Linked DNA regions of Caenorhabditis elegans. The protein of the gene in region 2 interacts with the protein of the main gene of each other region in a biochemical or structural test. Each region holds a gene or a part of one and is shown on either strand. Other genes may lie near its edges.

Region 1 (4,441 bases), on a different chromosome or scaffold from region 2:
ATTGAATTTCTCGATTTTTTTTCGGAACCTGCAAGGATGTAGAAAAATGATTCTTACAAAGTTCTAAAAATTTGAACATACTTTTGAAAATTTTACTGTTTCCCATTATCTATTTAGGTTTGTAACTTATACAGAATTCAATGTTATAGATCCATCAATTTCAAATAAAACGGAACAAATCGTTTAAATAAATAAAATCACTGTTTCAGGTGGTTTATTTTAAAATATGTTTTACTTACATTAGGAAACACTTGTTACAACGAGTGATTTTTATATTGGCAAATTATTATTGTTTCAGTATAACCAGCCATATTTGTAGCATTCGTTGAAACAGGAAAAAAAATTCAAAAATAAAACCGGCAAAATGTCTCTTAATCCATCATTCATTCATTCAATTCTGCATTTTCCGAAATTTTTCGGAGATTTCCGAAAAAGGGGCGGAGCTTACATTTTTTCATGAAAATTTACTTTTAAATTTATTGAAGAGCATTAAAAAAACAGCTTGTATGTTTAGTAGTTTTTTCTCTGATTGATTTTAAAAGTTTTTATTTTAATTTTTAAATAAAACAAATAGGCAGCGTTTCATTGGAAATATGAAAACGTTAATATTCCAAGCGTTTTATATTAGAAATTCTAGAAGAGAACTGTCTTGGCCAAAAAAAAGTATCAAAACAGTTTACAGTTTCGAAAAATTTGGAATAAGTTTCAAGTAACAGAACATTTTTAAAATATTCGGTTTCAACAAAAAATTTTATTTGTTTTTTTTTGTTTCAAAAGTGTCAAATAATCTCTCGTTCATTATGCAAACTGGAAAACGAAATATGCCTTAAAATTGTGAAAAAAAAGTTATATACTGAAAGCATATAAATTAAGTATCCATCAGGTTCTAAAAACTGCTTAATTTTTTCCAAAATGCGTTTTTTATTGAAAAAGACAATGTTATTATTTTTCGAATAGTTATTAAATGTTTTTTGTTAATCGGAATTTTTAATACGTACTTCACAAAATATTCCAAATAATTACAGTACGTTAGCTTTGAATATATGTTCGAAAACCGTCTTCTAATCCATCATTCATTCAAATTTTGAGAAATAATTTTCCGAAATATCACGGAGTTTGCGAAAAATGGAGCGGGCTTGAACTTTTTTAAAGTATTTACAAAAATTATTATTTATTGCTTCCTTGGGGGTATTTGCAAAATAAATTATTTTTCGGGATTTTTCATAATGCCTACCGCTATGTTGCTTACCTGCTTTATGACATTCCACTACTAACACTCCCGCCTGCCTGATAGCTACTCATATATCTACCTACCTGCCTACCTGGTGCCTCTATGCCTAACTATTGCCTTTCTTCATTTCGACGGTAACTCGGAGTTTTGATATTTGCTCAGTGTAGCTACCAACACCTTTTTAAAGATTTAAATCAAAAAATATAGAAATTATTTTTCGGCAGTAGGCATGTGGTAGGCAAGCACATTCGTGACAAGTTGATTCACCAAAAACATCATCAGACCAAATCTGGGCGGAGCTTGAGCATTCCACCTTTACGTCCGTGTTCTCGGCACGTTTTCAACGAGGCGTGCTCAGCTCCGGATACCGTATCCGATTTCTCAGAAGCCTCTAAGTTTCCCGTGCTTTCTTGTCAAATTGATTAGGAAATGATTCGGATTTTCTGAATTTTTGAAAGATTTTTCGGTTTTTTCAGTGATTTCAATCGGAAATTCGGAGCCGGAAATGCATTAGGAAGGGGCTAATAGCTATAAATTGACACGGGAAATTCAGATTTTTCATTCATTTTTCACACATTTTCTGTTACTTTTTCTCAATGATTTTTTTGTGTTTCCATTTTTTTTCCTTTAAAAAAATTCTGTGTGGAAATATTTTCCGCAAAACTTTATTTTTCCAGATGCTCTCCAAACTAGTGCTCACCACTTGTTTGTTGCTCACAATTTCGGGATCCTCCCAGGCCGCTTCAATGGAGGAAATTCAGTCGGAAAAGTTTTGCGAGAAGTTCCCAACACTCCACATGTGCCGACTGAAAGAAGAGCTGACAGGCAGTTTGGTCGAGTTACAGTATCTTTTGCAAGATGGTGAGTCGGCTGGAATATTTTTTTTAGTTGGACGTTGTTCGATAGTTCCTCTAGTTTGAGAGATTTAATGGAAAATGTGAAATTTCTTGAAAAAAATAGTTGTGAAAAGTATAGATTTTTTAGGATTAGAGCACAATATTAAAATTGTAAATCATGAGTGATAGAAATTCGACTTTTTTTCTTTTTTATTGGTAGTTTTATAGAAAAACGTTACTAATGAATTCAAACTCTCAAGTCGTTATTTCTCGTTTTCGTAAAACGGAAAAAAACATTAATTTTAACGTTTAATTTTAATTTATCACGTTCTCTTGAAGAATCTTAATTTTATTTTACCGTTTCAAGCCTTTCATAAAGATGGTAATGTTTCCTCATTCTAATGATGACTCTGTAACGTCGCATTTCAGAGAATATAGAAATATTTCAATTTTTAGTCCGTGAAAACAACCATGATAATAATAAAACGAATTTTTTTTTAAGTTCGTGACTACTTCGGTCACATTTGAAAATTTTTCGTAGCAGCAAAAAAATGTCTCGTTGTTTAAAATTATTAATATTATCCCACCGCAGATTTTTTTAGGTTTAGAGCATTTTTTTAGAGCTCAGAGCATTTTTAGAGCATTTATGTAGGTCGGGTCTGTCATCCAAATAAAATAAGAAAACGATGAAAAAAAGCTATGAAAAAGTCAAATTTCAACCTAATTTTTCTGAACCTTTTTTCATTTTCTATTTTGAAATTCTACTTTTTTTCGCATATAAATTTGGTAATTGAAAAGAATTGACTGTGAGACCCCTAAAAATGAAAAATGTTACAAAACATTTGAAACAGTGAACTTTTTTTTTGAAATTTTTTACAGCATCATTCCCGGAGCTATTCTACTAAAGAATCTTTTATAAAAAAACTTTTTAACTTTCAGGAATCAACAATCAACAGCAAGCCGGAGCTCAAGAGGTACAAAAGAGAAAGAGCGCCTTTGTCAGATTCGGAAAGAGATCTGCTCCAGAGGAAGAGGCTATGGTATGTTAAAAATCCCATTTTGTAAGCCTCCAACTTTTTTTTTCAGGAAATGGAAAAGCGTAAATCAGCGTTTGTCAGATTTGGAAGATCATTCGGAATGGAGCCACAGATTACTGAAAAAAGAAAGAGCCAGTACATTCGCTTTGGAAAATAATTTTTTTTTTTTGATTTTCAAATTCCCACCATTTATTCCTTTTTCAACCAACATTTTGAGCAACTCCTACTCTCTTGGGTACCAATATTTCTCTAAATTTACAAAAATTCACAACCCCCTGTTAAAATTCCCAGTTCGTGAATTTTCCTTCTAGTTTTTTTTCCGAGAAATCTTCCTCCGTGGGCTAATAATTTTTTTCTTTTTGGTGTGGACAACTTTTATTAATTGACTGAATGTGTTTGTCAATCGGTGTGGCGATGACACCCCAAACCTCCACAATCCTGTTTCTTGATCAGCTTGAAATTGAGATTTGAATAAAACTGACTATTTTGTTAGACTGGTGACTGCTGGAAAATGTTGTTTCAACTTTTTGATGAATTCTTATAAAAATAGCAGCTGAAAATTGATTGTGAAATTGTGTGTTTCAGAGTGTAGTTGAACGTTTGCAGCATCCTTCATCGGCCGGGTTTCAGCATAAGTGGCCGCACCCCTTAGGAGACGGACCCTGTCCAAATTTAAAATCGCGTGATCCTTGAAAATTTCGGTTACTATGTAGTTTTCAGGCATTCAGGAAGATAGTGGAGATCCAATTGACATTGAAAACTTCATGCAGAAGTAAAAACTTACTGTTTCACTTTGTTTTTATAATTTCATATACTTTTCTTTATAGTTTCTTTGTAGTTTTCTTAGAAAATAAATACGAATACTTTAATAGTCTCAATTTTTCCGAGAACAAAAAAAAACATTTATTATCATCTTTGAGACAGAACAATTGAAAGAACTAAAACCAGAGAAGAAATGTGGGTAATTTGATACAAATTGAATATTTTTAGTACTCAAAAAATACGACCAATACACAGAAACAGAAAATAAATAAATCAGGGAAAATGATTAATTAAACTTATAGGAAAGCGATTCCGAAGCCGGATGCTCAATTGTGTAGCGAACTGGGAGAAGACGATGTTGGCCGGGTGCCAAAATGACACACCATTCAAGATTATGGTCTTTGTTAAGACGAGCATCTGGTGGAGATGAGTTCTTGGAGGAAGACGAGCTTTTGATCTCCGGAGACACGATAGAAACCTGGAACTGAGAAAATTGTCTGCAAGGTCAAGGGGTGAACTCTCGGTCACTTGCTCACCAACCTAGCACACTACCACTGCGCCAATAACCCGCTTTT
Region 2 (4,920 bases):
TTTAAAACGTCGCCTCGAGTTCGAAATGTGATTTGAAACAAACACTAAAATGTTCATCCCTCGTCCATTGTTTTCCTTGATATATTATTCTACTTGTCACTTACAAATAGACAGATCAGTGTCCGGGTTTGTCTTTTGTCTTGAAAATAGCATGAAAGAAAACATTAATTTAATTATTCAGTCAACCTTCCTTCATTTTGTAGGAGAATGACGGTGTACCGGATTCGAAAATTATTTATCTCAAGCTGCGTTCGTGTCTTTTTCAATTTTCTTTTTTTCTTTCTGCAACAATAAATTTGTCAGAATGTACTGCGAAAACCTTATATGACGGTAGACCGTGCCAGGGGAATATAAGTTCCCGAGACTAGACATTAATCATTTCTACGTACTGTTCTTGAATTTTGAACTCATTTAAGGTATGGAACTTTCTATACTCCAGAAATCTTTATATAATGCTCATGATTTAATAATTTATATAACGTCAAAAGGTTTTTCCTGATCTTTTTTCTGTTGCCTTCACCTCCGTTTCCTCACGTTTTCTTGTTCTTCTCCCTGCATAACTTTGAAAACAACACAGGTCTTTTGTTGCAGATGGAGAACATCATAGAACACAATGACAGCTTTTCAGCAATGAATGACACACTGATCTGTACATACTTCGAATGCTATATCCACATGTTTGCCATGGTGAGTTCAAAGCATTAAAATCTCGGGAGGTGGTTTTGATGACGCGTTGGAAATTTGGAAAAATTGCAAATTTGTGATAGAAGCCATAGGATCATTGTTTCAATTTTGATATTTGCCAAAGAACAGTTTAGGAAAAATTAATTGTTATCACTAATCGGAGAGCAAAATGTCTCAAGATATGAGATTAGATGTGTTGAAGCAACATTCTATTTTGAATATTCAAGAACATTGAACGTTTTTAAAGCACTTATAAACACTATTAATAGTAAAGTAACATCAGTGAAGAGGGGGGGGGGTTTGAATTTACAATCATGATAGTCTGACATGAACAAATATCATTGTGAAACACTCCAAACATTCTTAGATTTTTCAAAATATTCAGTAAAAGTTGTGGTGAATTACCAAGTTATCAAAAAGCATGGACGTTTTTTTTAAGCAACCTCAAAAGTTTGAACCCTTGAAATTTCAAATTGTATAATAGGACAAAAGTCACTGTCTAGACAAATTTACATCGAAAATATAATTTTCACTTGGTTTAAACACTTATGTGAAACTATCAAAGTTGGAGTATCATCAGTGGGAATATTATTTAATCACATTCATAATAGTCAAATATAATCGTGCAACACTTCAAAAATGCTCCGATTTTTCAAAAAATTTCAATCAAAGTTTTGGTAAATTGTCAAGTTTTCTAAAAGTTTGGACTGTTTGAGAAATTTCAAGCAACTCCGAATGTAAATTTTGGAAAATTTTGTCAAATTGGACTCGAAAAGTTTGCTATTATGATTTATTGTAGGGTACTCATGGGTTTTGTTACCCTCAAAATGTTTTAATTTTCTAAGTTACAATTAACCACAAAAACGTGAACTTTTTTGGAACGATTTGGAGAAACGAATGCTTTGTTCCGTACTTTTGTTTTTGTTTTTAATTTGAAAGGTGGAAAATTTAATTTTAGAAAATTAAAACATTTTGGGGGAACAAAACCTATCAGGACCTAATGTAGCGGCATATGAACAGTTTCAAACATTTTCCCCATTTTCGGAGTAGTGTCCCATTCCTCAAATGACCTAAATAATTCTGCAATTCTGCACGTGTACTTTGGGTGTTAGTTGCGTACGAGACTCTATTGGGAGCCGATCGTAAACCCGTTTTACGGCCTCACACTGCGAGTTAGTCTTTCAGAGACTCATCTATGTGTTTCTGACTGGGCACCAGTGAATCAGTATGGTGTCATTTGGGGGGACACGCGATGCACACAACTTGAAAAATAATTAGCTGATAGACAGGGGCACGCGCTACACAGTGGGCGGAACTTCCAACACTGATTTCACTAGATTTCCCCTTTCCCTCCCACTCCGTTTTGACTGGAACGAATATTTATTTTGTCGTCCAATTTTTCCTGCTATCTCGTTGTTAGAGATTGTCGCTGGGATAATCCGGTTGTGAATGGACGTTTGAAGCTTTTCCAGCATTTTGAACCGGAATCTTTTTTGCTTTCCCATATTTGCTTCCCTATTCGGGCTCGTTCCGAAACGTGAAAGAGTGAAAAAATGGGGAAATGGACGGAACTCGGATTGTCGGGTCGTGAAAATGCAACAAATGTCTCGTCGCGAGCCATAACTGACAAGTCCTTTTTGCAGTACTACGATGAAATTCATATTCCTCTTTCAATTTCTATCTGTATATTCGGAGCCGCTTCAAACGTCTTCAATATTATTGTGCTCACAAGGTAAGTTATATATTTCTTTATTTTTTACGGATGAATGTACCTGTTATTCCAGAAAACGGATGCGAACCCCAATAAACATCCTGCTCACAGGTCTCTCCATTGCACAATGGCTCCTAGCGACCAATTACTTCCTTTACTTATTGCTTGAGTATTATAGATATCAATGGTACGTCATGCATCAAATAAAAAAAACAATGTTCCAGTTTTTTGCAGTGTTCAATTATTATGGTCCGAAGCATTTACAAGATATAGATTCTTCAATGTCAACCTGAATACAGTATTTCATACAAGTAAGTATTTTTAGATTGGCAAGCATATTACTGTACTCAAATACTTTTCAGTTGCATTCACAACGACGATCGTTGTCGCAGTGTTTCGGTATTGTGCACTGAAGTTTCCAATTCAAGCGAATAGATTCATCTATAAATGCCAGCCAGCAATCGCAGCAAACGTTATCATTTGGATCATCATTCCTATCATCAGTCTTCCATTGTTTTTCATATCCGAGGTTTGTGTAGTTAATCTTCATATCTCGAATCTGATTTCATCTATGTTTCAGGTTAAAATTGTCGCTCGTGACCACGTTGCTTATGATTTGCAATGCGAAATGGAAGGTCCATTGTACGACCTCAGTTATCAAGAGAGTCCACTTCTCGTGTCCGCAGTTTTCTGGGCATTTGGTATTGTGTTCAAACTACTTCCGTCGTTAATTCTCTCAATACTACTCATTGCTCTTATAAGATCTTTGAAAAGCGTAGAACGAAGGCGTAAAAACTGGAAGCGTACACAAGGTGCCAACATTTGCACCAACTCCGAGAGAAAAGCAAAAAGAAAGTTGACGACCAGACCGCGCACAACACGAATGCTCGTCATCATTCTACTCCTATGTGTAATGGTTAGTCACTATTTAATGTCTGATCGTATGTGATTGCTGTATTGTTACGATTATTTATATTATTTTGTCTATGATTACCATGAAACGTATGTCTGATTCCAGGTAGAACTACCCATGGGTATTCTTAACTTGTGCGTGGCTATCTACGGTGAAGAGTTCGGAAATCGGTATTACGATCCAGTGGGAAATCTGATGGAAATGCTGACGCTGTTGTACAGCTCTGTTAGCTTCGTTCTCTATTGCACCATGTCCAATGAGTATCTCTCCACGTTCCGAGCACTATTCTTCCCATGGACCAGAAAGAATAGTTTAAGAGGAACTCGAAGTGAGTACTTTCAAACAAAATTGTAGGATGAATCATCTACTTGAGATAACTACATTTTACTCACAATTTTTTCTGACTAAAAAGTTCAATTCAAAATACAATTTTTCAGGAAGTTGGAATCATCGACATGACGACGAAACAAAGTCCCCACGAACTTTTCTGATAAATAGAACTGCGCCAAGCTCATATGTCGGGTCTTAATCTCCTTTGCGTAGTTATTCAATTCAACTATAATTCTTGATTTTTGTATTTATCCCGTTGTGAACTTCAATTCGTCTGAAAAATTTGAAAGTCACAAGTTTGAAAATGTGATTCTTGTTTATCTTGAAATCTTCCGAGAATGAATAAAACTTGTATTGTTTTACTAATATAGTGTGTTTTCTCTATTTGAACAGCTTTTAAAAGTTGGAAAACTGAAGTTTCAAAGTTAAAAATCAAAGTTATGAAAAAATAAGTGTTCAATGATTTTGTCTAATTGACTTTTTTTAAAGCAATTTTCTTTAGAATTTAAAAGTTTTCTAAAACCTTAAATATAATTTTTCAGCATACTTGTTAATTTTTTTAAATTCTAAATAGAAAAAATAGCATATTTATCTGCTACACTAACAAATTGAATCGCTTCTTAATCTATCAAAACAATAAAAATTGCAGTATTTTGAAGCGTTTGGTTTTTTTTTGTTGCAAAAAGTCTCAAGTGTTCATATCTTGACAGACAGTCTTAGCGGAATTTTTAAACGGAAAGAATAATATTTTCTGAACACCTTCAAAAGTATTCTCCTGTCAGTGAAGTTAATACGTAGACGTATAGCGATAAGAAGTTTTTGGGGTCACTTACGTAGACAATGAGTTACTACATCCCGGAATGCTTTTTTATGGGGTTATTCAAGTAGTGTCGAAAAATTAAAAAGGATAGAGAAATGACGTGACAACTGTATTAAAATTTTTCTCTGCTTCTAAACTTTCCGACACTACTTGAATAACCCAATTAATTGAAAAAATAATGGTAAATATTTTTCAGCCACTGAATTGATACGAGTTACAGTAACTCGTTATCCACATAACCAATGAAAAAAAGAATGTAATATGAACTTTTTCATACAATTCTTTGAGTTTAGCAAAAAGTGCACAGTAAAATTTCGAACGACAACTAGGATTTCAGATGGGGGTTTCAGATGTAAATTCCCCCGTAAAAAAATTTGACTCACATCAGTGTGGCTGGGTCTGAAGATAATTTGCACTGTTTTCTAGTTAGAGTAAACATGAAACAAATACTAATGAAACCAA

Evidence for each region.
Region 1: of the proteins of egl-6 (region 2) and flp-17, one has a biochemical effect on the other in vitro, tested with the Caenorhabditis elegans proteins (2 studies listed by BioGRID, with this or other methods).

The regions. Positions count from the first base shown.
Region 1 is NC_003282.8:17,189,359-17,193,799, reverse strand, and holds flp-17 (FMRF-Like Peptide), read left to right. Parts: upstream 1-1,908; coding exon 1,909-2,092; intron 2,093-2,287; exon of another isoform or gene 2,288-2,308; intron 2,309-2,469; exon of another isoform or gene 2,470-2,493; intron 2,494-2,850; exon of another isoform or gene 2,851-2,871; intron 2,872-3,006; coding exon 3,007-3,107; intron 3,108-3,153; coding exon 3,154-3,261; 3' UTR 3,262-3,596; downstream 3,597-4,441. Other genes in the region: C52D10.3 (DUF4140 domain-containing protein), read right to left, coding at 4,153-4,344.
Region 2 is NC_003284.9:5,930,531-5,935,450, forward strand, and holds egl-6 (G-protein coupled receptors family 1 profile domain-containing protein), read left to right. Parts: upstream 1-2,055; 5' UTR 2,056-2,237; coding exon 2,238-2,416; intron 2,417-2,468; coding exon 2,469-2,582; intron 2,583-2,629; coding exon 2,630-2,706; intron 2,707-2,757; coding exon 2,758-2,924; intron 2,925-2,975; coding exon 2,976-3,311; intron 3,312-3,413; coding exon 3,414-3,636; intron 3,637-3,745; coding exon 3,746-3,837; 3' UTR 3,838-4,002; downstream 4,003-4,920.